Linked DNA regions of Notamacropus eugenii. The protein of the gene in region 2 interacts with the protein of the main gene of each other region in a biochemical or structural test. Links are inferred from orthologs where the notes say so. Each region holds a gene or a part of one and is shown on either strand. Other genes may lie near its edges.

Region 1 (8,050 bases), on a different chromosome or scaffold from region 2:
GTTAGACAGTCAAGAAACATTTTTTAAGCACCCCCTATGCTTAAAATGGTCAGATAACAAGCAACTATGTAAAAATAGGCTATATAAAGGATAAACTGGAGATAATCAAGAGAGATAAAGCACTAGAATTAAGGAAAGGCTTTTCATAGTTGAGTTTTAGTTGAGACTTGAAAGAAGTCAAGGAGGCTGGGGACAGGGTTGAAGAAGAGGGCAATTCTAGACATAGGGGACAGTCAGTGACAATGCTAGGAGTGTGGAGATCAAGTATCTTGTTTGACAAATAGTAAGGAGGTCAGTTTCACTGGATCATGGAGTACTGGAGGGGCTTAAAGTGTAAGTTATGAAAGCCTTTGAATGACAAACAAGATTTTATGCTTGATCCTTAAGTTGATAAGTAGCCACAGTAGTTTACTAAGTGTGTGTGTGTGTGTGTGTGTGTGTGTGTGTGTGTGTGTGTGTGTGTGTGTAACATGGTCACTTTAGGAAGACCAATTTGACAGTTAAGTCAAAGATGAGGAGAGAATTGAGGCAGTTAGTCCAACCAATAGGCTATTGCAATAGTCCAGGCTTAAGATGATAAGGGTCTTATCAGATGATAAGTGCTGGCGTTGTTAGAGGACAGAATGAGGTGCGTATAAGAGATATTACTAAGGTAGAAACAACAGGACTTGACAACAGCTGTGGATATGAAGGATGAGAAAGTCAAAGATGATACACAGGTTTTGAGCATGGGTGACTAGAAAAATGGTGATACCCCAAACAGTAATAGGGAAGTTAGGAAGAAAGGGGTTTTTTGGGTGGTGGGGAGAGATAATGAGTCCAATTTGGGCCATATTGAGTTTAATATGCCTGTAGGACTAATACAATTCGAGAACTCAAATTGACCATTGGACATACACAACTGGAAGCTAGGAGAGAGATCAGGGCTAATAAGTAGATTTGAGGACAATCAGCATAAAGATGATAATTGAATTCGTAGGAACTGATAAGATCATCGAGTGAAGTAGCATAGATAAAGAAGAGAAGGCCCAGAACAGAGCCCTGGGGGACACCTACTTTTGGTGAGAGTGCTTTGGTGAAGGTTGAAGGAGCCTTCAGATGAGGCAGGAGAGAATAATGTTCTAAAAACCTAGAGAGAAGAGAATATCAAGAAGAGGGTGACCAACAATGTCAAAGGCTGCAGAGAGGTCAAGAAGGATGAGAGTTGAGAAAAGGACATTTGATTTGGTGATCAAAAATCATTGGTAACTTTGGAGGGAGTAGTTCTGTTAGAATGATGAAGTCAGAAGCCAGATGGAAGAGTCAAGAAGAGAGTGAGAAGAAAGAAAATATTCTAGCTAGTCTTCTCAAGTTTAGCCACAAAAGGGAGGAAAGATATGGGAGGATAGCTAGTAGGGAAAGAAAGATGGATCAAGTAAGATTTTTCTGAAGATAGGGAAAAATGGGTATGTTTGTAGACAATAGGGAAATAGCCAGAAAACAGGAAGGGATTCAAGATGAATGAGAATGGAGTTGAGAGGGGAAAATCTGATAGAGAAGATAGGATGGAATGGAATGGAGTCAATTGTAGAAGGGTTTGTCTTGGCATGAAAAGGACCACCTCTTCAAGTGAGACAGAGGTGAAGGCATCTGGGTGATGACAGATCATTAGGAGGGGATAATAGTGAACTCTCAAAAAATGGTCTAAATTTTTTCAGTAAAATATAACAATATTGAAAATATGAAATATTTATAAAATAAAATATGAATTTTTTTTTAAAGTTCTTAGCTCAGAGAGTGGGTGAAAGTGGAACTATGGGAGGCTTGATGAAGGATAAAAATATTTGGTAGAGCTGCTGTGGTGAGTGGGATAGTGAGCCAACCAGAGAAGGGTAAAAGGATTTCCTTGTGGTAGTGAGGGTGAAATTGAGGTTATGCAACATAAATTTGTAGTAATTCCAGTTAGCACAGGTTTGTGATTTTCTCCAGCTTCATTCAACAGCATAGCTGAATGCCTGCTTAGTTTTCCTGAGGCTGGGGATAAAAATACAGAAGTTGTTTTCATTTATCCATAATTAGGCCCCCAGAAGTGAGGGCTTAGGCCTTGCAAATTGTTTCACAGCTTCAATAATCCTCTAGGAGACACTTTCCTATATGGCTGATGTCCAAGGCTGGACTCTGATGCTACCACTCTCTGATGCATGCTGGGTCAAAATGAGGCATTCATAGAAGTCACTGGAGATTTACTTAAGAAAAGATTTACTTAATAAAAGCCTTAATAAAAGGCTACAGTGGCACTTAATTTCTTTAAGTACAGTCCTCTTTCTCCCCCTTGGCTCTAAATGGATAGGTCACATCAGCAGGGCAGGTAAACCTTATTGGACTGAGTTTTATAAAAATATCAAGTATAAGGGACATAGATACCATATGAGGGAGAAAATCCATCAAATCTGAGGGACCTGGATTCCAGGACATGTTATATTCCCCTTAGATGACAGGAAGCTGTATCAGAGAAGTCAGGGCTAATCATATAGTTAAATTATGTAGAAAGGGAAACTTTGTTTCTTTTAGGTAAAACCTCCCCATGTTGCAGATGGGAGGAAAGAAGGGAAATGTAGTTCTGTCACAGTTGCTAAAATAGTAATGGGAAGTATTACAAAATAGTAAATGATGACATTTCCCCTGCATTGACCTCTTCTAATAATTTGACACTGTTGACCATCTCCTTCTCCATAATCTCTCCTTGCTGGGTTTTTGTGACATTTCTCTATTCTGATTTTTTCCCTACTTGCTGGACATCTCAGTCCCCTTTGCAGAATCATTATCCATATCCAGTTCCTTATATGTGGGTGGTCATGCTTGGTCATGAGTACTCCCCTCTTCTCTTTCTACACTCAGTGTCTTGGGGTTCCAGTTAATTCCCTTGGAGTCAACTATCATCTAAATACAGATGGCTCCCAAATCTACAGATCTAGCCTTGATCTTTCTCCTTAATTTTCAGTTGCTAGATGAACATTTCTACCTGAATGTCCTGCAGACATTTCAAATTCAACATATCTAACACAGAATTCATTCTTTTACCTCTAAAACCACTCTTCCTCTTAACTACCTTATTTTTGTTAAAGAAAATTCTTCCAATCATCCGGTCTCACATTCCAGGAGTCATCAATTTTTCACTCTCCCAAATCCTCCATATTCTATCAGTTGCAAAATCTCATCAATGCTTAGATCTGCACCTTATCCCTGGCTCCTAATTGATCTTTCTTCATCCATTTTCAATCTGCCTCCCACACAGCTGTCAAAGTAATTGTCCTCGACCATGTCACTCTGCTCAAAAAGCTTCAGTGACTCCCTACTGCCTCCTTTGTTTGCTATTTAAAGTCATTAGAAGTCTAGTTCTAGCATTTCTTCTTAGACTGATCAAACATTACTCTTGTTCAGGCACTTTGGCTCAGCTACTTGCTATCCTCAGCATAAGACACTCCATCTCTTGCCTCCATACCTTTATAAAGGCTGTTCCCTATTTCTGGAATGTTCTCCCTCCTTACTTCTATCTCTTGGATGCACTAATATAAAGGTTTAGGTCAAATGCCACTTCTTTTACAACAGGCATCTCCTGGTTCCCTCAGGTTGTTAATGTCAGCCACCCAATCATTCTGCATTTATTTTGCATAAATTCTATATTTATTTATTTGTGAATTTGTGGTAGTCCCCCAAAAGAATGAGGACAGAGACTGAGATCACTTTTTTATTTTGTATCCCTAGTGCCTAGCACAGTGCTTGACACATAGTAGGTATTAATAAAGGTCTGTTGGTTGATTCTTGCTGTCATATGACTATCCATCTTATACTTGTATCATATTTATTTGTATACATGTCCAAAATCCTTCCTCTCCTATTAGATTTTAAGTTTCCTAAGTTTGAGGAGTATTGTTTTTCATCCTTTTTTTCTTACTAGCATAGAGCCTTGGTGCTTACTAAATGTTTTCTTGAACTGACTTGAATCTTGGCTGTCACTAGTCTGACTTTGGTGAGCAAGTCACTTAACCTTTTTGAGCACTGTTTCCTTTATTTTAAAGAAGGATGATTGAACTAGATGATTTCTAATATCCATAGATCTTTGCTTAAAAAAACCTGAATTATATTCTTTTCTCAATCTCTTTATATTCTGCAGATTCAGGTTCAACTTTCAAAAATAAAATTCAATAAATTTAATTCCTTTATCATAAAGAATTGCTTTCTACATTATTTACATGTTGCCAAAGACAACAGACACAATACATCACAAAGTTGTAATTGACCTGGTACCATCACCTGGAATGAGATAGAAACCCTCTGGGTCTTTGACTCTGTGACTAAACCATTATTTCTGTAGAAAGCATCAACTAAGGGAATGGGTGTAATGCAATGGAAAGAGTGCTGAAGTCAAGGAAACCTGAGATTAAATTCTAGCTATCACTTACTTTCTGTGAAATCTAGAGGAAGCTCTTTAACATCTCTGGGCTTCCTCATTTGTAAAATGTCTAACAAAATTGCTTCTAGAATCTTTTCCATCTCTAAATCTATGATGATCACATCTGTGCCTAGAGGAAATAAGGTGGTGCCTACCTTAATTTTAAAATAACTGGTTTCATACATAATTCACCAAATCATTGAGGTGCATGTGGGAGAAGAATTATCTATGCATTTTATTTTTTAAAAACAATATAAAGACTAGAGATTAATAATATGCTATTTGGCATACTTCATTCACTTTATTCAACAAGTACTACTAAACAAAACTCATTGAGTTAAAGACAGATTGGAGGATACCACATAGGGCAATGAGAAAGCCAAGTATGGGAACACATAAAAGAGAAATTAGAAGGGCAGAATCAGTCCTTTCTAGCTCTGACATTTTTCTAGTTTAATGAGGCAGCAACTGTTTGGATTGCAGGGGGTGGGGAGGAGGGAGGAGTTAGAAAAGATTTCCAAGTTCAGTGTGGGTGGGGAGAATGAAGGGCAGCCTGGTGTGATGATATAAAGTTCCTAATGGACTTTAAGTCAAGACACCAGGTTTTGAATCCCCGATCGAGTACTTTCTAGCGTTGGACCTTGGGTAAGTCATATAACTTCTCTGATTCTCAATTTCTTAATCTCTAAAATGGGGAATGATAATAATCGTATCATCTATCTCAGACTCGATGGTAATGTGTTTTCACTCTTAAGTGCTATATGCATATAAATTTTTAACAAATGTCCAGAGGAGTTTGCGGGGGAAAAATTCGAATCCAGTTTTAGAGGAATTTAAATTAATTGGGGAAATCCAGGGAGTTATTTACCCAGGTGATGGTTGAACCTAGGGAAGCAGGTGATTCTCATCTCTTTGTCATTGATGGATGCATCAACACTACAATGAGTGGGGGGGGGGGGGGGGCTTTTGAGGATGGGAGAGATTTAGCGTTTTATGGAGTTTCTTGGTTCTCCAGTGGTTATCATCTTGCAGGTTTTGTAGACAATTTCGCTTATTATTTCTTATGATTCGTTAATCCAGGTGTGCATGCGGGTCACCGGGTCTCCCTGGTCTGAATTCAGGGTTTGCCCTCTTATCACTGTGCCAGGTTAAGTTGGTGGAGGAAAGCAGGTCACGCAGATCGGATGGTACCCCTAGGACCCAATCTCCCTTCCCTCCTTCCTCCCCTAGTGTCTCCCCTCCCCCGCCCCATCACTAACTCAGCATAATTCCTCTGCTCGCTTTGTTGCAGAGGTGCGTACTAGGTAGCGCCCGCCCTGGTGCCAGCTCCAGCTCTTGGTACCACCCCCCGTAAACCCTTTGCGATCCCCACCCTCCCAGATGCCAGGAAGGCGTCCCATCCCCGGCCAGGAACTTGGGCTGCGCTTTGAAACTGGTTTAACTAGTTTTTCGGGAGCTGGCGGCCGGGAAGAATGAAGCCCGCAGGGGCAAAGGGAGGGTCTGGCCAGCGGAGCACAGGTAGGGGCGGATGGCCCCTTCGGGACTCTGGGAAGGCTTCCAGGTGGGGCGCTTTCGCACAAGCTGCAGCGCTTCTCCAAAAACACTTCATCCCAACTTACACGTCCAACCATCCCTCCCTGCGGCTCCTCCCCCGGCGATCAGTGCGCAGACGCACGAGATGTGCGCGCTCTGCCACGGCGGGACGCCTTCCGGGAGTTGTAGTTCACCGCCGAAGGGGACTCCTCCACCAAGCCGAGCCCTTCGATCTCTCCGAGACTACAGCTCCCGACGTCCTCCGCGAGAGGGCACAGAGCGTCGTGTCTTTGACGGCCTCCGCCGTCGTCCAAAGGGAGTAGAGGCAACCGGGGAAGCCGGCAGCGGCGGGAGGAGGGGATGCGCTTGCGCGTTGCCCGGTTGGCCCCGTTCCGTCCCAGTCATTGTAAACAGGCGGCGGCGTAGAAAAGCTTGGGTGGGGTGGCGATGGGGTGCCTGGGGCTTGCCCGTGGCGCGGCCGAGGGGGCGGAGGCCACGGCGTGAGCGCGAGCGCGAGGCGGCGGCGGCGGCGAGGAAGAGGTCGGTCGCACCGCGGCTGGGGCAGGTCAGTCGCGTGCCCGGGAGTCGCAGCCCTTGACCCTCTCGCACTCTGTGGGGAGGGGGCGGGGGGGCTCCCCCTCCCTTTCCACCGGGCGCTGCGCCCCTTCTCTTCCCGGTCCCCGCACCACGTGAGGGTCTGATACTTCCGTCTCCCCAGTGCTTGTCAGGTGCCGCCCCCCTCACCTTTGACTTCGGGGGTTGGGGGCGTGGTTTTGAGAAAAGCGGGGTGTCAGGCCCTCACCCCCGCCCCCAGTTTACCCCGGGATGCCTCTCCTTGCCTGGACTCGTCCGGCCGCGTTTGTGCCGGGGTGTCTGGGAGGTCAGGAGGTCAGGCTCGTTCTTCTCACCTTCAGTGCTAAGAGACCTCCAAAGGGGCCCCCCAAGTCAGCCTTTAACCTAGAGCCAAAGGAAACCTCGGGACCCGGAGAAGGCGTTGGGGGTCTTCGCCTGCCGGGATGGAAGCCCGTTAGGATGTCAGGGTGTGCCGTTAGACGCTGCGGTGGCCCCTGGATTTAGGCTTCAAAAGGTGGAGAGATGGTAGAATCCTAGATTTAGAGCTGGGATGGGCTTTGGAAGGCAGATCCTGCTTTGGACCCTTGTTATTTGTGTGCTAGTCACTTCACCTTTCCGAGCCTCGGTTTTCTCACCTGTAAAATGGGGATAATAAAACACTATCCCCTAGGATTGTGAGATACCTGTAAAGCGAGTTGCAAACTTGAAGGATGGCTAGGAAATGCTGTTATCTAGTACAGGGGGTTCCTAAGGTAAGGCTCATTGTACCCAGAGCATAGAGTTCATGAACTTGGATGGAAAAACATTACGTTTTTTATTTTCACTAGTCTCTAGCTGAAATTTATAATTTTATTTAGTTTTTTTAAAACGTTTTTTAAGCTCCACACGCTTCACCAGCCTGTCACCAACCTGTCAAAACTCCCTGCACTTTACAGGTGAGTGGTTAAATAAGTGGCAGGGTTTGAGTCCAAGTTCTCAGAATCCGCATTCAGCATTTTTCCCCCAATTGTTTTTCACTGGTTTTTTCTTCCCACTGGAATACTCTTTCTCCTCACCTGCTGCCTCCCTGGCTTACCTGACTTCCTTCCTGTCTCAGCTGAAATCTTACTTGCTAGCTTTTCCTGATCCTTCAGTAAAGCTTCCCTACCCTCTAAGATTATCTCCAATGTATCCTATGTTGTTTGTTCATATTTGTTACAATGTTGTTCCCCGTGTTAGACTGTGACCTCCTTGAGGGAAAGGATTGTTTTTCTTTTCTTTTTTTGTATCCCTGACTTTTAGCACTGTACTCGGTACATAGTAGGTGTTTAACAAATACTAGTTAACTTGACCTCCTCTTTTCAGGATTAAGGCTTTTTTGAACTCACTTTTCAGATTCTTTTATGCTAAAACACTCTTTTTTGGGGGCAATTGGACAATTGGGGTAAAGTGATTTGCCCAGGGTCAGCTGGTAAGGTCTGAGGCTGTATTTGAATTCCGGTGCTATATCCTAGCTGTCCTTGTGCTGAAACA
Region 2 (7,375 bases):
GATGATATCTAAAAAAATAAAATTATGAGGTGAGAGAGGGATATAGTGGGAGGGGAAAAGGAGAAATGGAATGGGGTAAACTATCCCTCATAAAAGAGGCAAGCAAAAGGTTTTCAATGGAGGGGAAAAAGGGGGAGGTGAGAGGGTAAAAGTGAAGTTTTTTTTTAGGAACCCAGTGAAGGGTTGAGTGCAGACTCTTGGATGGCTCCTCCACAGTACAGCCTCACCACAGCACCTAGGCACAGCCCTGGGAGACTTTGGTATCTTTGGCAGGCACTGTACTCTACTTTTTTTATGCTTTAGGAGACCCCAGAGGACTCATTAATAAAGATCGACTAATCAGGAATGTCAAACGCCTGAATTCCACCACAAAAACAATTTCAGGTGGGCAGTAAAAAGCCCTTAGAGGTTTACAACATCTTCTTGGAGTCCAAGGGAGTTGCCAAACTTGACTGTTTTTGAGAGCTGGGGGCCCTGTTATTCATATTACCCACCTCTGGGGAAGCCTTAAAACCAACAGGAGAGAGACGTGGGTTCTGGAGGTTTCCTGAATCCACAATAGGTGGGACCAGCAGGGCAAAGAGAGGAGGGGCCCTATGCAGGCCAGCCCAGGTTTGGGCACCATACACTCTGGGTGTGACGGATCTGAACTTGATTCTCCCTCCTACCAGCAGGTAAGCTTCTTGGGAGCAGCCACTGTATCCCTAGCACCTAACCAAGAGCAAGCACACAGTAGGTGCTTAATAAATGTTTAATTCAATTATCCTGTAATTTTCTGTGGTTTGCTTCTCCCTGATCAGGTCCTAGGCACTTGGTAGAGTGCTTGCTTTCTCAGTTATAGGGAATCCACTTCTATAGCTAATTCTAGCAGTCCCCACCTCTGACAACTAAGTACTGTTAGTCCTGTGTCCCATGAAAAGGAAGGCTTTCCTGCTGAGGGAAACCCCTCAATCTGGAGCCCACAGTCCTCCATCTTCTCCAGCAGACTGCCCCCATCAGCCCTCCTCTCTGGCACCTTTCATGTTCCCGTCCCTGCAGCGGCCTCCTCACCCTGCACGGTCCACCCTTGTCCCTCTGTACCGTCTCCCTAGGTGCCCTCCTCAGCCCTCCTGGGCTCCTACGAAGATGATTCTCAGATACGGAGCTCTGCTCCACCTGATGCCTCTGGGCACCTTGAGCTGGATGTCCATAGACATCTCACCGGCTTTCCTGGACGTGACAGGTCACTGCTAATTCATCCTGAATCCGCAGGCCACAAAAGCCCATCCCATCTTGTTCAGAACAGCTGCCTTTGCATGAGGTCCACTGGCACAGACAGGTCCGAGACTTCACACTGATCTTTACTGCAGTGCATCGACTGAACCTGGCCCAACACTGGGGCCTCTCAAGTCCTTTCGGGCTCGGTTGTCCAGGGTGTCCGCTGTCCCTCCCGGCTGGACGCGAAGAGCCTGCCTTCTGTCCTTTGATCCAAAGAACTGAGAAAAACGGTCCACCAGGGTGAAGGCCTCTTGGCACAGAACCGCCCACTGTCTCAGTTAACCAGTCTGGACCCTTCTGGCTTCTCCACAACAGCAAGGGACGCCCCCGGAAAGCTCTGCTAGGATCCGGTACGTTCCTCTGTCAAGTGAAACGCTCCTCCTTCTCCTCACCCGAATCCCAGGCTGTGCCCTCACTCCTCTGCCCTGCTCGGGGTGGCCTGGAGCCAAAGTCCTGGGTTCCAATCCTGGCGGCCCGCCCCGGCTGAACTGAGTAGTCTTGGGGGGCCCCTGCCTCTAGCAGCTGCAAGCCCTCACTCCGGGAAGGAAGGGGGGTGCCTGGGCAGGTCAGCCTGGAGACGGCTGGGCGGAGCCGGTCCGAAGGCGGCGGCTGAGGTCCACAGGGCGATCCGGCTAGGAGGTGCCCCGGGCTCCCGGTGGCGCCCCAGCTCAGCGGGCTTCGGAAGCCTCCTTACCCCGAACCGCTCCTCACGGCCCTGCCTGCCCCGGGCCGCTCCCGGGCCGCACGCGCTCGGACCCCACCCGAACCGGGGACCGCGGACCCGCACGGGCACGAACGGTGCGTGCCACCCCTCGGCCAAGGCCGCAGCTTCCCGCCTCTCTGCCCATCACCAGGCGAGGAGGGGAGGAGCCCGGGCGGGCAGCAGGGGGCCGAGGGGGGCGGAGGCTGTGGGTCGGGGTCCGGGCGGAGCGGGGCGGAGGCCGGCCCAGACTGACCCCCCCGGGGGAGGGGCTCCGCTGCCCCCTTGCCCCGAAGGCCCCCCCCCCCCCCCGTCCTCCAACTCCAAGAGGGTGCCAGCCTTTGCCACCCCTCCTGCGTGCCAGGCACCGCGCTAAGGGCGTGTCCGTCGTACAGCCCGCAGGAGACCACCCTCCTTTAATCCCAAAGGGGTGCACGGGGCCCCCCCTCCCGCCAGGCCCCCCGCAGCCCCGGGGCGCTCCCTCTCCCCCAGCCCCGACGGCGTCCGCGCCTTTACCTCGGGCGGGGAAGGGGAAAGTTCCGAACTTGGCAACTTTGTAACGAGCGGCGGGGGCGGGGGCGGGGGCGGGCCCTCCCCTCCCCTCCCCTCCCCTCCCCCCTCCCCCGCCCCTCCCCTCCCCCGCCCCTCCCCCACTCACCGAGGAGCGCGTGGAAGAGGCTGCTCTGGAAGATGCCGATGACGCGCTCGAGGGAGCCCCGCAGCGGCCGGTCGTGTGCGGGGCTCAGCTGCGCGCGGTACTCCTGCAGCAGCCGCAGCGCGCGCTCCGTGTCTGCGGGGACAGGGCGGGGGGCAGGCGTCAGCGCGCGGCGGGGCCGCCCCCTCCCCGGCCCCCTCCCCCGCCCCTCCCGCGCCCGCCGGCCTCCCCTCCCCCTCCCCTCCCCCTCCCCTCCGGGCCGCTCACCTCGCTTCCGAACGGGCATGGCTGGCGCGCGTCGGCCCCGCCTCACGCCCGCAGCGCCATCGCCGCCCGCTCCCCGCGCGCTCCCCGCCCGCGCTCCCTCTCTCTGCCTCCGTCTCTCTCCGTCTCTCCCTCGCCGCCGCCGCCGCCTCCCCTTCCTCCTCCCCCTCCTCCTCGGGCTCTCCCCTCAAACTTTCCTCCAAGATGGCGGCCCCCGAGCCGGACGGCCGCGCCCCCACGTGACCGCCTTCCCCCGCGCCGCCAGCCAATGGCAAGTGAGCGGGCGGCGGCGCGCGCCCGAGCGGCCCGAACGCTCGGCAGCCCCGGAGAGGGGGCAGGGGGCGGGGCCCTGGGGGCGGAGACGCTAGGGGGCGGGGCCCGTGGAGGGGCGGGGCGGACACTCCCTCCCCCCCGTGGAGCGGGGCCGACGCGCCTTAAAGGGCCCGCGAGCCACAGGTGGCAGCCCGACCGAGCCGGTCTACGGGCGGGGCCGAGCCGCAGGTGGGCTGGCCACGCCCCGGGGCGGGGCCCGGAGGAGGAGCCGCCGCTGCTCGTGGAGGTGGGGGTGGGGGAGAAACCCCAAAGGAGCGCCCAGGTCTCGGGCCGGAGCCGAGGGGCTGGGGGAAACCGAGGCCCGGGGCCGCCCCGAACCGGGCTTCAAGGGCTGCGGGAAAGCCCCCGAGAACCCCCTCTGTGAAGGACCCGCGGACGACGGACGGACGGACGGACGGGGCTTCTCGCCCGCCCCGCCTCCTCTGGCCGCGCCCCGGGCCCCCTGCTGTGCTTGGACCGTGCGCGCCCCCCCACGTCACGGGAGCCCGAAGCTGGCGGACCCCACGGGGGGCAGGGGAAACTGAGGCACGGAAAAGTCAGCCAGGGTCACGCGCCTGCCGACGTGCGCAGGTGTATGTGTGTGCACGCGTGTGCGTGTAAAGTGCCCCCGGGACCCCCCGGCGCTCCTGGCAGCGCTGAGGTAAATCCGTTACTGCCCGTGACAACCCGGTGAGGTTCGGTCCGGTCCGGTCCCGCCAGCAGGGTCAGGCCCCTGTCGCGATCCTCCCGCAGACGCAGCCCCAGCCCGGCCCTGCGCCCCGCACCTCCGGGGGGTCACTGTGTCCTTGTGACCCCCACTTTCGCATCTACACCATGACAGGGTCGGCCTTGGCGGCTCCGGCCCAATTCCCCGAACCTGTGGCTCTGATCACTTTGTCATGGAAAAAAATTGATCAGACTCTCCCTTAGAAAGTCAGCGGGACTTGGATGGGCAGGGAAGCGGCCAATGAAGGAAAGAGGAGGCCTGCTACGTCACACACCTGTGCGAGGTGTGTGAGGTGGAAGGACAAACGGCCGGAGGGCCCCGAGAACCGCTGTTCGCAGGCCCGGGAATGCAGGAGACTGGGCAGGCGACCCAGCATGGACACGCTCGGTGCCGGCTCGTGAGTGGGCTGTGAGGCGGGCCACCCCTGGGCAGCAGCTCGGAGTCTGGCACCGAAAACAACCAAGCGCCACCCTCCTGACCCAGTGGGCTGTGAGGCGGGCCACCCCTGGGCAGCAGCTCGGAGTCTGGCACCGAAAACAACCAAGCGCCACCCTCCTGACCCAGGAGCCGCGCTGCTAGGCACACCTCAGAGGCAGGCCGCCCGGCCGTGCCCACCCAACGCCTGGAGCAGCCCTTCTCGTGGCGGCCAACCTGGGGGAGGGAGAGGCACATCCTGTGGCTGGAACAGTCCGAGCAAGGCTCCGTGTCCCTGCTTCGCAGCTGCGGAGAGCCAGGCCTCAGGGGCAGGAGCAGGTCCGGAGGAGGCCTGTTGGATCAGTCGCTGGGTCGTCAGAGGCGCTCTACCTAGATGCCCACTGGTGAGGTGGGGTTGTGCTGCGACTGCGAAGAAGGCCAGTCGTGTCCCTGGTTTGTGTAGAACAACCAGGAGGCTCGGAGCACTGCCGCAGAGGAGAGGTGGCAGTCCAGCCTCTCCAGGGAGGGATTCCCTGACTCCTCTCCCCACCCCACCCCCACTTCCCCATTCTTGGAAGGTCGAGGCTTTGGACTCCCAGCAGCGTCCTTGGGACAATCATGGTGGGTATCACTGTCCGCATTGGGAGCTGAGGACAAACTAGACCCATTAAGGAAAGGCAGTCACTTCAAATCTCTGTGAGGATCCCATCAGGCAGCTGCAGGAGACTGAAGGGGAACACTGTGAAGACCAGCAAAAGGGCCTCTGGGAACCCAGAGTGTGAGCCTGCTTTCCCCAGGACGCTGTGTGTCCTTGTGAAATGGGGTGGTGGGTACAACCTTAGTAAATACCCCTATCTAAAGGCTAATTAATCTGATTGACTCATTGACACCAATTGCTAGTCCTAGGCGGAGGTGCAGGGAACTCGAGTAGGAGCTTAGGAGCTAAGTTCTAGGGACCTGACTTAGCAGTGAGAGTTGAAAGCTGAGAGAGTAGCTCACGATCCCCATGGCATGGTGGCATGTGAATGCACCAGAATATTACTTACTGCCCCATTAGAAATGGCAGATATAAAGAATATAGAGAAGGACACAAAAACCTAAGAACGGATACAAAATGAAGAACACCGAACCAGGAAAATGATATACCCAGGACTACAGTAGTGGACATAGAAAGGACAGTGTCGGTGATGGAAACTCACCAACATGGGATCATAATTGAAAATTCATCTTCCTCCCCCTGCTTCCTGTGGGAGGAGGGGGCTGCCTTAGCAATACAGGCTTCTAGACCCTGGGAAGATGATCTGGTAAGGCCCAAAGCCACTGATTGGTGAGTAAATGAATGTCTACTGGCTGGCCCTCTACTTACTGTTTAATCATTCAGTCAGGTCTGACTTTGTGTTTTCTAACTCTCTAGGGTTTTCTTGGCAGAGATACTGAAATGTTTTGTCATTTCCTTCTCCAGTTCATTTCACAGATGAGGAAACCAAGACTTACCCAGGGTCACACAGTTAGTAAGTGTCTGAGGCCAGAGTTAAACTTGTGGAGAATCTTCCTGATTCTAAGCCCAGTGCTCTGTCCACTGCACCACCTGACTGCCCAAGACGCCACCCAGACCATCTTACTCTAATTCCTCACCTCTGGCCACTTCTCCACCACACAGATTGCCTTCTCCTGTTAGAAAATCGGCTCCTTATATTTGTACCTCAAGGACTAATGCGTTTTTCCATTCATTCACGATGGTGTGTTATTTAGTTTTGTTGGATTTTCTTTCATTCTTTGTTATAAGGGACATGGGAATTAAATTGGTGATGAAGATGATATAAAGACAGGAGATCAATACTTTTCTTTTTGAAGCTAGTGGAATTACTTTGGCAGGTGGGAGACTAGGGGAGCCTTATCAGGCATGATTAGGATGTTGCTTTTCCTGGGCTGTTTCCCTGAAAGCCAAGAGGGAGACCCTGGGTTCCAGGAGAAACAATTTCTTCTCAGGTTTTTCTGGGCTTGTTCTGAGGCACTTCCTCCAGAGCGAAGAATAAAACTGGGAACCCTCAATTAGACCTGATAAAACACCGCTAGATTATCGTTAGATCATTTCCCCATCATCACTCATCAACAGCCCTATGAAGTAGGCAATGCTAACATGATTATCCCCATTTTATAGATGCAGAACTGAGGTTCTGAGAGGGGAAATGCCTTTTATCCAGCCAGTCATGCAGCCAGGTCAGGCTGCTGATGGAGACAGGCTGCACTCATCAAAGGAAGCCCTTATTTAGGAGGCTATATAACCCCATGTCCTCAGGCACCCCAGGACAGGACAGGAAATGGTGCTCAGAACATTCTCCCCCATTCCCCCAAAGCAGGACTCCGTCTTATACGTGGCAGCAATCGTCAGTAAGGACTTGGGGCAGCTTTAAAATACTTGTTCCTTGTATTAGGGAATCCAGGATGACAATGAGGATTCAAAAGATCTTTCCATGCTTGAATATTGGGCCAAATCTAATTAAATGAAATGGAATAAGGATAAAGTACATTTAGACTTGAGTTTTAAAAAGTCAGCTCCACAAATGTAAGATGAAGGAGATGTGTGACTAATGGAGCTAGATGGCAATTTATCTGAAAAAGATTTGAGGGTTAGAGTGAACCACAGGCTCAAGGATCAGCAGGGAGTGGTGTGGCAACCCAGAAAGCAAATGCCATCTTGGGCTGCATGAAGAGAGGCACAGTGTCCAGGAACAAAGAGGTGGTGGTACCTCTGTCTTCTGTCCAGCCAAGACTCCATCAGGAATTTTGTTCAGCCATTTCAGGCATGTCCAACTCTTCATCACCCCATTTGGGATTTTCTTGGCAGAGATACCAGAGTGGTTTGTCATTTTCTTCTCCAGCTCATTTCACAGATGAGGAAACTGAGGCAAACAGAGTGAAGTGACTTACCCAGGGACACCCAGCTAGTAAGTGTCTGAGGCCAGATTTGAACTTGGCTCTTCCTGGTTCCCACCCCAAGGCATTCCATCAAGAATTTTAGACTATCCATTTCAGGAAGGTCACC
Region 3 (7,306 bases), on a different chromosome or scaffold from region 2:
TCTGGCCCTTCTTTGTATCTGGCAGGACTTAGCACAGTGTCACAGGGGTGGGGAACTTGCAGCCTCAAGGCCATCTGTGACCTTTTATGTCCTTGGGTGCAGGTTTTTGACTGAATCCAAGTTTTACAGAACAAATCTTTTTATTAAGGGAATTTATTCTGTGAAGTTTGGATTCTGTGGAAGGGCCACAAATGGCCTTGAGGTTGCAGCATCCCCACCCCTGGAGCACATAGTAAGTATTTAATGAATGCTTGCTGACTTGACTGTTCCTTAAGTCTTTTTGGTATTTTCATCCAGCTCACAGCCACGAATCATCGGTTTCCTCCCAGGCTCTTTCCTTGGCCCCCTGCTCTTTTCCCTTTCTGCTATATTGCTTGGTGATCTCATTTGCTCCCATGGATTCAGTGACAGTCTCTATGCAGGTGATTCTCATATCTATCTGTCCAATTCTAACTAACCTCCAGTGTTCCATCGCCAGCTGCCTACTGGACACCTGGAAATTGATGTCTTGTAGACTCTTTAAGCTCAACATGTCCACATTATCTTTTCTGCCCACAAATCTTACTCTGAACTTCCCTATTTCTTGGGAAGGCAGCACCATCCTCCAGTCATCCAAACTTACAAATGGTGTCATCGTTTCCCCACATACTCACTCCACTTAGCCAATTTGCTGCCAAGTCTAACAACTTTTATATACATTCTCTTTTCTCTACTCACACAGCTGCCATGATAGTACAGGTCCCTATCACCTAAAGATACTCTGGGACTTTTGCAACAACTTTCTGGTTGGCTTCCCTGCTTCAAGTCTTTCCTCACTACAATTCATCTACCACAGAGCTGCTGAAATGATCTTCCTAAAGTAGTCTGACCAATGTTGTGGTCACCACTTCCCACCTACACTCAATAAATATAGTATATACTTAATGTTTACTGGCTGACTACATCTAGAATCAGATATAAAATCTTTGTCATTGAGAGCCCTTCATAATTTGGCCTCAAACACTTCTCAGTTTTATTATATTTTATTCCCTTTCATATGCACTAGTACAACTGAACTTGTCTTCTTTCTGATCTTCACAAACTATTGTTTCATCCCCCATCGCTGTGCCTTTGCATTGGCCATTCCCCATGCCTGGACCTGGTTTCCTTCAAGGTTCTGCTCAAGTGCTACCTTTTTCAGAGATTTTTGCCTTGATCACCCTCACCTTACTCCCAAACGTATATACACACATATGGACGTCTTCTGCCCTGGCTAAAATATAAGTTCTTTAAAGGCAGGGACCTTTTTACTTTTAACTTTCATCTCCAATGCTCAGCATTTCCGGGCACACAGTAGACCCTTGGCAAAGGCTTGTTGATCAATTCAGCATCCCAGTGACTCCTCAGATGAAAAGTGCCTTCCCTAGACACCAAAATATATTCTCTCCCACCTTGTAGAGAGCAGGCAGTACCTAAGTGAACTTTACCACCATGAAGGGGCTCTCTATGAATCTCTTCCACTGAGCTCTTCCTGGAAATTCCATTTTGAGGGAGGGCCCAGACCAGCCATCATTCTAGGGACTTTGCCACCATGTCCCTGTTCTGCTACCTTCTCTCCCCAATCCCAACTTGTTAGTTCCCTGCTTATGTATTATCTTCCCTCCTTAGGATGTTAGCAATTTGAGGGTAGGGACTGTCTTCTTTTTTTTTTTTTTTTTTGCAAGTTATTTGTATCCTTGAGGCTTAGTACAGTGCCTGGCACATAATAAGTGCTTAATAAAAGGACCAGAATTTAAAAATACCTTACAGGACCAGGCTGCAGTCAGTCAATTAACAAAGTACATTTTTTAAAAAATACACAAGAGGAAAGAAAAAGTAGAGATAGAATGAAATATTTTATTTCAAATTAAAATAATAAATTTTGTTGCATCAGTTGTCATGCCTGATCCTTCTAGTGTTTTAATCAATTCTCATTGACTGCCTTTGTATTTACAGAATTTAGCATAGTGCCTGGCACACAGTAAGCACTTAATAAATGCTCTTTTACTCATTCATTCCCCAGCCAGATTCTAAAATAGTCTTATAAAGACACAAACTATATCATAGGGTATAGTGTAGAGAGAGCCTTAACTTCTTTAATGCTATAAAGCCCATTGATCTGCATCAGTGGATGGAGTGAATGTGTACACTGCTGAAATCACATTTCCCACCCTCCTAGAGTGCCAGAGACTCATCAATTTCCTACAAAAGGAATATAACATTTTCTCTCTCTGTCTTTGTTTCTGTGTTTCTCTTTATTTCTGATACTTTCTATTTTTTCTCTCTCTCTCGATCTGTTTCTCTTTCTATACTTCTGTCTCTCTATAAGTTACTGTATCTGTTTCTTTCTCTCTTTGTCGGTCTCTGTTTCTCTCTGGGGGTCTCTCTACACTTCTTCTGTTTCTCTATGTACCTCTCTCTCCTCTAAAACCCTACAGGAAAGAAGGAAAGAAAAAAGCAGGAGGAAAAAGAATGGCTGTGAGACCACAGGAAAGGGACGGCAGGCTCGCAGAGCGAATGTCAGGCTGGAAGCGGCTTCGGGGGCCCCCGGCCCGGACCCCAGAAGCCAGGACGCCCCTCTCTCCAGCCGCGCTTCTCCATCCTCCCGGTCTCAGGACCCCTTTACGTTCTTCAACAAAATAACCGAGGGCCCCTAGAGCTTGTGGGCCGATCCCATGCGGGAATGCTTATCCTTGTCTTATTCATTTCAAGTCACTCATTACCCGTTCGGCTACCACAAACGCACTTTACTCCGACGGTGACCGCAGTCACCCGGCTCCGGAGGCCCCGGGTTCGAGTACCAGCTCGGCCGCCCCAGCGGGGCGAGCCCGGGGCTTCAGTCTCCACACAGCCGAGGGAAGGGGGCTGGGACTCCCCAGAAAGTGGGAGGGGTCCGGCGGAGACAAGCAAGCCCCGGCCACCCTCCTCCCGCGGCTCGCAGACTCACCTGAGCAGGTACGGATCAGCGGGGGCGCCCGGACCCGCCTCCGCGCGCAGACTCCACCGAAGCCGTTGAGATTCGAACGCCCGCCGCCTTCAAACCCGCGCGCTGCGGCCTACGGGGCGGACAGAGGGACAAGCTGCGTGGGAACGCGTTCCCTGCCCGCCTCGCTCCTTCGCTTTCTCTGCCTCTTCCCCTCCCCATTGATTACGGTTCATTATCATGTTGGAGTTCTTGTTTGTACACACAGACATATTCACATATCATCTGTTCTATCTGCAGTCCACCTGTAGATCCTGCTCTATCGTCTCTCCCGATCTCTCCGGCTGTCTCTGCCCCTCTTCCCCTCACCTTCCTGGCGGAGATCCCACCTTCTGCCCACCTTCCCTAACCCCTACTGGAGCACCTCCTATCTGGCCTGTGCGCAGCCCGCTTAGTCTGTATTTCTTCTCCATGGAGGCAGAAACACTTTTTGCTTTTTTTGTCTTCATTCTAGGAGCTTAGCACGGCGCCGTTCACATTGTAGCTACTTCATAACGTTTATTGATTATGATTGATTGACGGACCTAGGCATCCCTTTGTATCTACCTAAGGAGCATTGTGCTCCTTATCATCGCTCATCCATTTATCCATATGTATCTATTTATCTACCTATAGTTACCTAAAGAGCATTCTGTTATCTATCATCTATTATCTCTTTATCCATCCATCCGTCTTTATCCTACATGTATCTATTCATGAACTATCTTCCATTTACGTATACAATCTATTATCTCTGGATATGTGAGTGATTATCAGCTCTCCATCATCTCTCTTTGTCCCTATTTTCCTTACATCAACCTATCTCATCATCTATCTGTCCATTTTTCTCTTTTTTAAAACTTTATTTAGTATCACCCTTTACTGAAAGCAATTTAGACTTTTTTAACTTCCTTTTTTTCAACTTATTTATTTAATTTTAGTTTTCAACATTCACTTTCAGAAGTTTTAAATTTTCTCCCCATTCCTCCCCCTTCTCTCTCCAATGCAAGGTGTGATTAAATTTTGTTTCCACAAAAATTAAATAAAATTATAATTCATATTGATGGTTAATGTCAGAGAAAAAATTGCTTGTATAAGGTGGTGGGTGGGGAATGCTAGTCCTGGAAATCAGCGTATCTACTACAGAAAAACCTCAGTTTATGAATTTAATTCATTCTGAGATTCTGTTCATCGTGTGATTTGTTTGTATTGCAAAGCAAATTTTCCCTTAGAAAATAATGTAAAGTCAGATGACTGGTATCACATCCCCAAACATATTCATGTAAAAATAATTCTTTACAGTTTTAAGTTTTTTGTCCCTAATGGACCCAAAATACAATAGCAATGATTAGTATACAATATAAACTGAAAATGAAATAAATTAACCTACACTTTACTTTTGAGAACAGTCATGGCTGGTATGAGAGAGAGAAGAGGGAGGAGGAGGAGGAGGAAGGGTTATTGCTTGGTAGAAGGATCTCCTATGAGAACATCAGAGATTTCAACCTGGGAAGTGTTTTCTCTTATGTTACTTTCACTAAAAGTAAGACTAACACTACTGCCTTCACTTATTTTGCATTGTTTAGAATCACTTTCATGTTTTGACTTACTGATTGTTTTTTTTTACATTCGCTTCTGACTAGGAATCTATCTAACAACACTTGTCTGACATTTTTTTGATTAATTTGTTTTCAGTTTTCAACAATCACTTCCATAAGTTTGAAATTTTCTCCCATCCTCTCTCCGCTCCCTCCCCATGACAGCATGCAAATCTTATATGAGTTAAAAAAAAAAAATTGCCCTAGTTGAGTGTCCTCCCTTCTCAAGCTACTCAAGTCCAAACATGATGTTTGTACTGCGAATTTTTGTTTGTCCTGCAAGACAAATTTTGTGAAAAATTTTTCCTTGTTCAGCAAAACAGGTTACTTGAAAACTGAGGTTCTAATGTACTTTTCTTTGTTCTGAAAAGGCCTCTCCCTGCATACCAAAAACAACTGCCAGGCCAGCTCTCATCCACAGAGGATAAGAATGAGAGCCATAAACCCACTAATGAGCGTTGAAAAGGTACAGGAACCCAAAGACTGGAAGTCCTTGGGTGGGCCATCCTGAAAGAATTCATGGACTCAATCATTCTTGAGGTCAAAGTGGTAAAGATTTATTACACTTTTCAGCAGGCAAGAGTTCTCAGGGAACCTACAACCTTAGAGGGGTACAATTAAAGTTTATATAGAATATTCTATAGTGAAGTATGTGCCAAAATTGCTAACTAGGTGATTCAGGGTGGGATTAGGGAGTGATTAAGGAGTGGTTAGTTCTTAAAAGAACATGCACTTTTAGTATCTACTGCACAGATATTTTACCCAGAGTTCATCAGAAATAGCCCAAAGAGGGCTTACATGGGTGTGGTTTTAGGCCTAAAATGTCACTAAGTCAACTAATGGCCAGGGTTGACTTGAGAAATACTCAGGCTGCTCCCATCAATATCTTGTTAGAGCAGATAAACTTAAGGAAGTATACACATTTCTAAGTCTAGGATACATATGATTGGTCAGTGAATAGTAAATATCTTTATGAACCAGTACACAGCCAGTTCAGCCAGTACACAGTTGGTTCAAACTAATAAATCCTATAGGTGCTGCTGGCTGCTATATTAGGAAGAAAGATCTATGGCAGGCTGTACTTGGGCTGGGGAAAACTGCCTGGGATAGTGTTTTGAGGCTAGGGAGAAATGTGATTTTAGAGAGAAATGTGATTTTAGAATTGGGATCCAAGCACAGGCACCCAAGCACCCCATCACCATCTTTTTTTATTGATATCCTGGAATCTTCGAACTCACACTTTTGTCAGTTCTCTTAGCAATTGAAAGCTCTTTAATCATGCTATCTGATGTAGACAAAAGGGGAAGGGACTAAGAGTATTCCTTTAAAGAATAAAGTAAATGAAGATGTAATCAAGAGGTAGGGTTTAGTGAACCCTGGAATGTTGATCAATGGGGTTCAAGGCAAAAATTCAAGTCTGGATGAATTATAAAGACTTACATAACTTGCATTATGTGTTCTTACACCAGCTTGAAGGCCAAGTCATCTGTCTTTTAAATGTGAAGTAAAACTCTTTTTTTTTTCTAAATTCCCTCATAGCCTTGTAGAATTCTTGGTTATTTCTAACACCAAAATGGCATGCAATCTGATATGGGCTCTACACATACATTCCTATTAAACGCATTTTCACATTAGTCATGTTTCATAGAAGAATTATAATGAACAGGAGAAACCATGAGAAAGAGAAAAAGAAAAAAATAGTCTGCTTCATTCTGCACTCTGACTCCATAGTTCTTTCTCTGGATGTGGGTGGCATTTTCCATCATGAATCCTTTGGAAATATTTTAGGTCCTTGCATTGCTGAGTAGGGCTAAGCCTATCAAAATCAGTCATTGAACACTATGGCTGTTACTGTGTACAATGTTCTTCAAGTTCTGTTTACTTCACTCAGCATCAGTTCACGTAAATCTTTCAAGGTTTTTCTGAAGTCTGTCTTTTCATCATTTCTTATAGCACAATAGTATTCCATTACATTCATATACCACAGCTTGTTTAGCCATTCCTTCAATTTCTAGTTCTTGGCCACCACTAAAAGAGCTGCTATAAATACTTTTGTACATGTAGGTCCTTTTCCCATTTTTATGATCTCTTTGGGATACAATTCTAGAAGTAGTATTATTGGGTCAAAAAGTATGCACATTTTTATAGCCCTTTGGACATATTGCTCTCCATAATGGTTGGATCAGTTCATAGCTCCACCAGCTATGAATTAGTGTTCCAGTTTTCCACATCTCCAACATTTATCATTTTCCTGTTTTGTCATGTTAGCCAATCTGATAGGTGTGACGAGGTACCTCAGAGTTGTTTTGATTTGTATCTCTCTAATCAATAGTGAATTAGAGCATTTTTTCATGTAAATACAGATAGCTTTAATTTCTTCCTCTGAAAACTGCCTGTCCATATCCTTTGACCATTTATCAGTTGAGGAATGATTTGTATTCTTGTAAATTTGACTCAGTTCTCTATATATTTTAGAAATGAGGCCTTTATCACAGACACTAACTGTAAAACTTTTTTCCCAGTTTCCTGCTTCTCTCCTAATCTTGTTTGTATTGGCTTTGTTTATGTAAAAGCTTTTCAATTTAATTATCAAAATTATCCATTTTGCATTTCATAATGTTCTCTATCTCTTGTTTGGTCATAAATTCCTCCATTCTCCATTGTGAGAAACATGCTCACTCTAAATAAAGAACAATACTCAATGTGAAGCCAGGAAAGTTCTGTTTTT
Region 4 (8,084 bases), on a different chromosome or scaffold from region 2:
CACCACTACCCCCAACCTTTAAAGCCTGACTCAAATGTTATCTTCTCAAGAAATCCTTCCCAGATCCTTGAGATCAATATCACCTTATCTCTCAGACCTCATACAGTTCTTTGTTTTCATCTAATCACAGAATATCAGTTCTGGAAAAGATCTTAAAAATCATTAATGACAGACAGGGTTATATAATGGTTAAATAGTTACACCTGGATATAAGAAAAGCTTATATATTGAATTCTGCTTCTGCCACTTTCTAACTATGTGACTATGTTCAAGCCACTTAGCCTCAGTTTTCTCGTCTATAAAGTGGAAATAGCAATGTTTTTGGTGCCTACCTCAGAGAGTTGTTTCAAGGATCAGATGAGGGAATGTAAAGATCAGATATAACAGCATGTAGTTCAATCCTCAGACACTTACTAGCTTTGTGACCCTGAGCAAGTCACTGACCCCTCTTTGCCTCAGGTTCTTCATCTGTAAAATGAGCTGGAGAAGGAAACGGCAAACTACTCTAGTATCTTTGCTAACAAAGTCCCAAATGTGGTCATGAGGAGTCAGACAAAACTGAAAACAACTGAACAACGATAAAAGTCCAATCCCCAGAAGAGAAGGATGTGCAAACTGAGATCCAGAGAGGTTAAGTGATTTCCCTTAGGTCATGCAATGAGTAAGTGGCAGAGCCAAGATTTAAATCAGATCTTTGCACCACAGATTATTTCCCCTACTGATAACCCTCAAGTGTATTTATCATGTGGAATGGTACTTTTCATTTTGACCAGAGCCAAAAACAATCCTTTGCACACAATAAGTACTTAATGAATATTTGATGGTGGAAGGGTTGCTGCTGCTTGGGACAGCAGCATGCAGACCAGAACTGTAGGAGAGCCTGTGCAGCCATCAGTGGCAGCCTCTTCAAAAATGCTTCAGATTTCATCCATTTACTTGTTATTCATTGTTCTAAAGAAAGGACTAGACAATCCTTCTGCCCCCTGCTATATCATATAACATCACAGCATCACTCTGGACTGACTCACTGGAAAGGCCCACTGTTCTATCCATTACAACACCTAATTGCTCTGGGTCTCAGTTTGTGAAACGAGGATTTGTGTTAGATGACCCCTTCCTATTACTGAGTTCCATCTAATTCTGAGACTCAGTGATTAGCTGTATTTTTATTTGAGCCCCAATTTGGAACCTTGCCCACTGAAAGGCTATGTTCATGATCTCTCAAGAGTCTGCATATTTTGCTATTGTGCAAGCAGAGATATAGAAAAGCTAGGCTGTTGCTCCACAGAAAACTCATTCTCTTACTCCTGGTATAGTTGGGGACTAAGGTCAGTTATGGGGCAGTTAGGTGGTGTAATGGATAGAGTGCCAGGCCTGGAGTCAGAAAGACTCATCTTCCTAATTTCAAATCTGGCCTCAGACACTTGCCAGCTGTGTGACCCAGAGCAAGTCACTTATCCCCATTTGTCTCTGTTTTCTCATCTATCAAATGAGCTGGAGAAGGAACTGGCAAACCACTGCAGTATCTTTGCCAACAAAACCCCAGATGGGGTCACAAAGAGTTAGACATAACTAAAAATGACTCAATGACAAAAAACAAAAAAGGTCAGTTATATGAAAAGAAGCACTGTCTGGTTTGTCTAAGAGGAAGAAACCATAGAAACTTACTTATAACTGAGATACTTGTTCAAGCAGGTCAACCTGTGACTCAAGTACAGTGTTCGTTAAACTTCCAGGAAGACTGTAAGTCACTGAAGTAATTAATGAGGACAATATTTGCTCTGCCCATGAGGCAGCAACCGGGCACTTCTTTTGGTCCTTATAATAACCCTATGAGATAGGTGCTATTATTATCATCCTCATTTTGCAGATGAGGAAACTGAGGCTGACAGGTTAAGTGACTTGTCCAGGGTCACACAACTAATAAGTATCTGAGAGACATTATTTGAATTCAGGTCTGGCTGAGTGCAAGTCCAAATCTATCCACTTGGCCATGGATTCCCTTTAGGAATCCCAATTCCAGAACCCTCGGACTGGATGATCTCTGAGCTTTCTCCCTATTTTTCTCTGGGATCCCTTTTTAGCCCTAAATCTGTGATTTCTAAAAATACAGATGAGTTGCTGCTTTGTAGAGGGAGTTGTTGCTTTTTACTCCAAGGGTTCCCCATATCTATGAAATCCCGTACCCTTTCCCCCTAAAAAAATGTTAAAATAAAATTGAAGTTTTCATTCTGAAAGCCCCTCCCCGCAAAATGCCTTTCAGAGTCTCAGCTTCTTTGAGTTCAATGATTCTCAGTCACAACTGCAGTGCATCACCTGTAAACGGTACCTTAGACTGTGCTCCCTCCCCCTTTGAGTCTGATATCACGAGATCCCTCTGAACGCAGGAACTGTTGGCCAAGTGCCCGCAGCATAGATATTACAGTTGTTTTTCTTATTTGTCCTTTATTCTCCAAGAGGACCATGACATCAGGGAGGTGCTTAATAAATGCTTACTGACTGACAACCCCCAGGGCAGAACAGCTGGGCGCTGGGATGATTAAGGAAATAAATCCTTTTCCTTAGCCAGTGGCGCTGTCCAAAAAAGCTGAAAGAACCCCAGACACGCAGCCGGCTCTACCGTGACTCTTCCTCCAGGATTATTCGCTACACGTTCATTGCAAGAACGACAAGATGCTGTAGAATTAGGAAAAGCTTCCTTCTCTGCAGGCTTGCCATTAGTCAAATGCATTCCTGGATGTCCCCCTCCCCCTCCCCTGGAGCGAATCAGACGAAGTCAATTCTTCAAATGAAACATGAGAAGTAAAAGCTTCCGCTCCTGTGGGTTGTTTTTTTTCCCTTTCTCAGAATAAACAGAGACCACAAATCTTAACTCAAACATAAACCTTTCATTTTTAAAAACAATTTTGATTTCCAGGTAAATATTTCCAGGTCTTACCTGTTTCCCAGTATGGTTTCCAGGGGCAGTAGTCATTTTAAGAGTAACCATCATAAGCCAAGAACCGAGGGAGATTGGGAATTTGAATTCAATTTCCAGCTGACTCATGGGGAGTGGTTTGCGCCACACTCCACCCAGATCCGCTCGGTTTTCCTCCCACCATCAATTTGTTAGGGGTTAGATCTATGGGAAGCTGGGATTGTGGAGGACTGACTAGACCCGGTGCATAAAGGGTTTCTCTGTTTTGTGTTTTGATTAAAAATTGATGGAATTTTAAAGGGGGGAGGGGTGATCATTTAACCATTGTTTCATTTCAGACAAATTCTGAAACTTTGGCAATTGGCTTTTCCAAATAGAAGGCTCCAGCCTCTGGAATTTGTCCTCTGGCTAACTCCCCTTCAGTGTTACTTGGGTGGATTTCCAGAAATTCTGCATTCACCTTTTCATTTTGGGTTATTCTTCAAATTGTTGCTGAGACGCTTCTACATTGCAAGCTTTTGCGTTCTAGAAGATGCATGATATTTACAATCATAATGCTCCCTGGCCATTTTCCACCCATGCTGCCATATTGCCTCCAGCTTCCTTATCAGCCCCCTCCCTCCAGAACTCTGCCCCTGGGACTCTGGGCTCTATCTGATAGGTCTTCTCTCACCTGGAACCAAACCTCCTAGTCACTTAAAAGTCACCCCGCACACACACACTTCTCCACCTCCCTTTCTGTGGTGTTGACCTCCACTGGGTCAAAAGCTCCCTGAGGGCAGGCTTGTATTTGTTTGTATCCTCTCTAGGGCTTAGCACAGAGCCTGGCAAATAGTAGGGGCAGCTAGGTGGCATAATGGATATACACTGCTGTGCCTGGAATCAGGAAGACTCATCTTCCTGAGTTCAAATCCAGCCTCTACACTTACTAACTGTGTGATCCTAGGCAAGTCACTGAACCTTGTTTGCCTTCATTTCCTCATCTGTAAAATAAGCTGGTAAAGAAAATGGCAAACCCCTCCAGTATCTTTGCCTAGAAAACCTCAAATGGGGTCACAGAGAGTTGGACATGACTGAACAATAACAACATGGCAACCCTGGAAGGTTGGTTATTATTATCCTCAAAGTTTTAAGTGACCTGCTCAAGTACACACAGCTAGCATCCGAGGCAGAAATTCAAACTCTGGACTTCTTGACCTAAAGTCTAGTTCTCTACTCACTGGCCACCAACCTACTTAATCTCTACCAAATGTTACTCTGCAGGTTGCTGGAACCAGTCTCCACTGGGTATTGCTCCTTGCTCTCACTTTCTGGGGTAATCCTTTCAGAGGCCTTCAAGCAATCTTAGTTCCAGTCTATTTAAGTACACTGACTAGAAGCTTGCTTGAATAAGAACTGTCATAGCCATTAAATCCAGCTAAGAAAAGCCAGTCAGCCAGATTACCCCCAGGCTGAGTTAAATCTTATATAATGGGAGATAAAAACAACTCTCAGCACTTAGCATAGTACCTGGCACATACTAGGTACTTAGGAAATGGTTACTAACTTAATAAATGATTACAGATAGCCATCTAATTTAGGATCAAGCATGTCCAAAATACACACATACTAGGCACTTAGTAAATGGTTACCAACTTAATAAATGATCACAGATGACTAACTCAAGATCAAACATGTCCAAAATCTTCTCTGGTTTAGCTTATAAATGAATTTCAACTAGAATAAAAAGGGAGCCAAGTTAGATGGTAGATTAGGGGCAGCCACCCAGCTGAACTCTCTCAACATCCCCCTCCAAACAACTTTAAAATCATGCCTCAGATCAAATTTTGGAGCAGGAGAGTCAACAAAAGTTCAGGATGAGACATTTTTCTGGCCTAAGGAAACTTAGGTCTGCATGAGAGGGCTGTGACAGACAGCCTGTTGGAGTATGCACAAAAGGCAGCATCAACAGCAGTAGTAGTAGCAGCAGTTTCACGAACTCTTAGCCCAGAGATGGTAAGGAGGTCTGACAATTGGTCAAGAGATTACAAAAGACCCTTTGCTGGCATGGAATACAGCTGATACTGACTGACAATTCTATTGCTTATGTGCCATTCTGGGTCATGGTCCCAGGGCAAAGTTGTTGGTCATCAGGTTGGTTGGTCATCAGGGAACAGAAGCCCTGGTCACAGTTCCAAGACAAATAGGAATGCTAGTTTTTGCAGCTGTAAGAGAGCAGGGTTGCTGTGACTATAGCACAGAACAGGAGAGCAAGGATCCTACTTCTCATCAGATCACACCACCTTGGAAGCACCAAAAACTTGCAGATTCCACCCCCCCCCCATAACTAACTCTGAAAACAATAGCACCAAAAAACCTAAAGCTTGATACAGTGCTTTGCCACCACCAGGTGAGCAGAGCCCAACTTTAACATAAAATTCAAAGTCAAGAAATAGGCTAGAAAAATGACTTAAAACAATAAGAATGACCAAAAAAAGTTGACCATAAAAAGCTACTCAGTGGCAGGGAAGAACAAAATATAAATTTAGAAGACAACAACATGAAAATAGCTACAACAAAAGCTTCAAAGAAAAATGCTAATTGGACACAAGCCAAACAAGAATGAAAGAAAGAAAGAAAGAGAGAAAGAAAGAAAGAAAGAAAGAAAGAAGAAAGGAAGGAAGGAAGAAAGAAAGAAAGAAAGAAACAAAGAAAGAAAGAAAGAAAGAAAGAAAGAAAAAAACAAAGAAACAAAGAAACAAAGAAAGAAAGGAAGGAAGAAAGGAAGAAAGAAAGAAAGAAAGAAAGAGAAAGAAAGAAAGAAAAGAGTGGTAGAGGAAAAATTGGGGAAAGAAATGAGAGTGATACAAGAAAATTATGAAAAAGGAATTACCAGCTTGGTAAAAGAGGTACAAAAATATTGAAGAAGTGATGCCTTAAAAAGTAGAATTGCTCTAATAGTAAAAAGAGGCATAAAAATTCACTGAAGAAAATAACTTAAAAAATAGAATTAGACAAATGGAAAGAAGAAGTACAAAAGCTCACTGAAGAAAATACCTCCTCAAAAATTAGAAGTATGGAACTAGAAGCTAATGATTCCATGCAAGAAACAATAAAACAAAGTCAAAAGATGAAAGAAGTAGAAGATATGAAATATCTCATTGAATAAAACAAATAACTAATGTAGAAAATAGATCAGGGAGAAATAATTTAAGAATTATTGGACTGCCTGAAAACTATGATCAAAGAAAGAACCTATAAATATCATATTTGAAGAAACAATAAAGGAAAACTGCCCTGATATCTTAGATCCAGAGGTTAAAATAGAAATTGAAAGATTCTACCAATGACCTCCTGAAAGAGATCCTCAAATGAAAACTCCCAGGAATATTATAGCCAAATTCCAGAACTCTCAAATCAAGGAGAAAACATGGTAATCAACCAGAAAGAAACAATTCAAGTACTATGGAACCACAGTCAGGATCACACAAAATTGAGCAGCTTCCATGTTAAAGGAGTTAAAAGATCAGAGATGATATAGAGCTGAATAGAAAATTCGACCTTCAAACACAACACTCAAAGGAAGTATAAAAGTAAACATGAAAATCATAAGGGACTCAATAAGATTAAACTGTTTACATTCCTATATGGGAAGATGATTCATGTAATTCCTAAGAACTTTATCATTAGTAGGGCAGTTAAAAGGAGTTGTTTACATAGACAGAAGGCATGGGGCATGGGCATGAGTCTATTATGTTGGAATGATCCCCTCCCCCAAAAAGTGAAGGGGTGAGAAAGAGGGATGCCCTGAGAGAAGGGGAAAAGGAAAGATAGAATGGGGAAATTTTTTTCACATAAAAAAGCACACAAAGAAGAGCTTTTACAGTGGAAGGGACAATGGGGGAGGAAGCAGGCAATGCTTGAACCTCATTCTCATCTAACTTGGTTCAAAGAGGAAAGAATATATATACATATACACACACTCAGCTATAGGTAGAAATATCACTTACTCAATAGGGAAATAGGAGGAGAAGGAGATAAAAGAAAGGCAAGGAGGGGGAATGATATAAGGCAGAGCAGATTAAGGGAGACAGTGGATAGAAGCAAAATGGATTTTGGGGAGGAATACGATGAAAAGAGAAGGAAGAAAAGAAAAAGAAGAAAATGGGATAGGGAAAAATACATAGTAATCACAACGGTAAATGAAATGGAAGCACATCACAGAATGGATTAGAAACTAGAATCCAACAATATGTTCTTTATAGGAGATGCACTTGAAGGAAAAAGATAAATACAGAGTTAAAATACAGGATTGGAGTAGAATCCAATATGCTTTAGCTGAAGTAAAAAAGCGAGGTGACAGGATTCATTTCAGACAAAGCAAAAAGCAAAAAATAGACCTAATTTAAAAAGATAATCAGGGAAACTTTATTTTTCACAGCCTCATTCCCATGTCTGACACTCTCCCCCTCCCCATCTCTACCTCTTACTCCACTTACTGGCTTTTTTCAAGTTTAAGCTAGAGTTCCATCTTCCACAAAAAGAAAAAAATCTTTTCCAGGACTTTTTAATTTTAGTGCCTTCCCTATGAAATGATTTCCAATTTATCTGGTATTTGCATATGTTTTTTTTGCCTGTTGTCTCCCCTATTAGATTTTAATCTGCTTGAGGGTAGGGACTGGTTTTCCCCTTTCTTTGTATCCCCAAGGCTGAGCAGAGCTGAATATATACTTGTCAAATGACTTGATGACAACAGTGATTAACATCATCTTTGTCCAGCCAGTTACTAGCATCTCCACGCCTGTTTCCTCACTTGTAAAACAAGGATAATAATCCTAGTGATACCCATTAGATACTATGGGTCCCAAGTGTGAGTACACGTTGCATCTGCCACTTTGCCTGGTCTCAGTTCCACCGAACAAGATGGGCAGGATAAACTCATCCTTGTCTAATCTATCGTGCTGCTAACTCAAGCCTTGATTGACACCACTTCCCTTAGCCTCCTGATTGGAAGGCTGGAGGATGAAGGTCAGAAAATGGACTCTCAGGTCACTCCATTTGACATCTGCTGCTCTGCCTTGTTTCAACTCCATAGAAGAAGATATCCCCTGGAATTCCCCCCTTACCCCCCTTTACTGCCTCTGTGTGTGTGTGTATTTGTGTATGTGTTGTCTCTCCTTTTAGACTA

The links.
Region 1: the proteins of DLG1 (region 2) and RALBP1 interact in a test that uses a peptide from one of them, tested with the Homo sapiens proteins (2 studies listed by IntAct, with this or other methods). The link is inferred for Notamacropus eugenii from reciprocal best matches to the Homo sapiens genes DLG1 and RALBP1.
Region 3: the proteins of DLG1 (region 2) and PBK form a complex in vitro, tested with the Homo sapiens proteins (2 studies listed by BioGRID and IntAct, with this or other methods). The link is inferred for Notamacropus eugenii from reciprocal best matches to the Homo sapiens genes DLG1 and PBK.
Region 4: the proteins of DLG1 (region 2) and EVI5 interact in a test that uses a peptide from one of them, tested with the Homo sapiens proteins (2 studies listed by IntAct, with this or other methods). The link is inferred for Notamacropus eugenii from reciprocal best matches to the Homo sapiens genes DLG1 and EVI5.

What each region holds. Positions count from the first base shown.
Region 1 is NC_092875.1:233,698,608-233,706,657, reverse strand, and holds the start of RALBP1 (ralA-binding protein 1), read left to right. Parts: upstream 1-4,970; 5' UTR 4,971-5,077; intron 5,078-6,393; exon of another isoform or gene 6,394-6,530; intron 6,531-7,339; exon of another isoform or gene 7,340-7,473; intron 7,474-8,050. UniProt on the Homo sapiens protein: Multifunctional protein that functions as a downstream effector of RALA and RALB. As a GTPase-activating protein/GAP can inactivate CDC42 and RAC1 by stimulating their GTPase activity.
Region 2 is NC_092877.1:387,071,553-387,078,927, reverse strand, and holds the start of DLG1 (disks large homolog 1), read right to left. Parts: upstream 3,110-7,375; 5' UTR 2,899-3,109; coding exon 2,880-2,898; intron 2,748-2,879; coding exon 2,616-2,747; intron 1-2,615. UniProt on the Homo sapiens protein: Essential multidomain scaffolding protein required for normal development. Recruits channels, receptors and signaling molecules to discrete plasma membrane domains in polarized cells.
Region 3 is NC_092872.1:524,126,872-524,134,177, reverse strand, and holds the start of PBK (lymphokine-activated killer T-cell-originated protein kinase), read right to left. Parts: upstream 3,149-7,306; 5' UTR 2,966-3,148; exon of another isoform or gene 2,765-2,965; intron 1-2,764. UniProt on the Homo sapiens protein: Phosphorylates MAP kinase p38. Seems to be active only in mitosis. May also play a role in the activation of lymphoid cells.
Region 4 is NC_092873.1:504,272,892-504,280,975, forward strand, and holds the start of EVI5 (ecotropic viral integration site 5 protein homolog), read right to left. Parts: upstream 3,027-8,084; 5' UTR 2,993-3,026; coding exon 2,939-2,992; intron 1-2,938. UniProt on the Homo sapiens protein: Functions as a regulator of cell cycle progression by stabilizing the FBXO5 protein and promoting cyclin-A accumulation during interphase. May play a role in cytokinesis.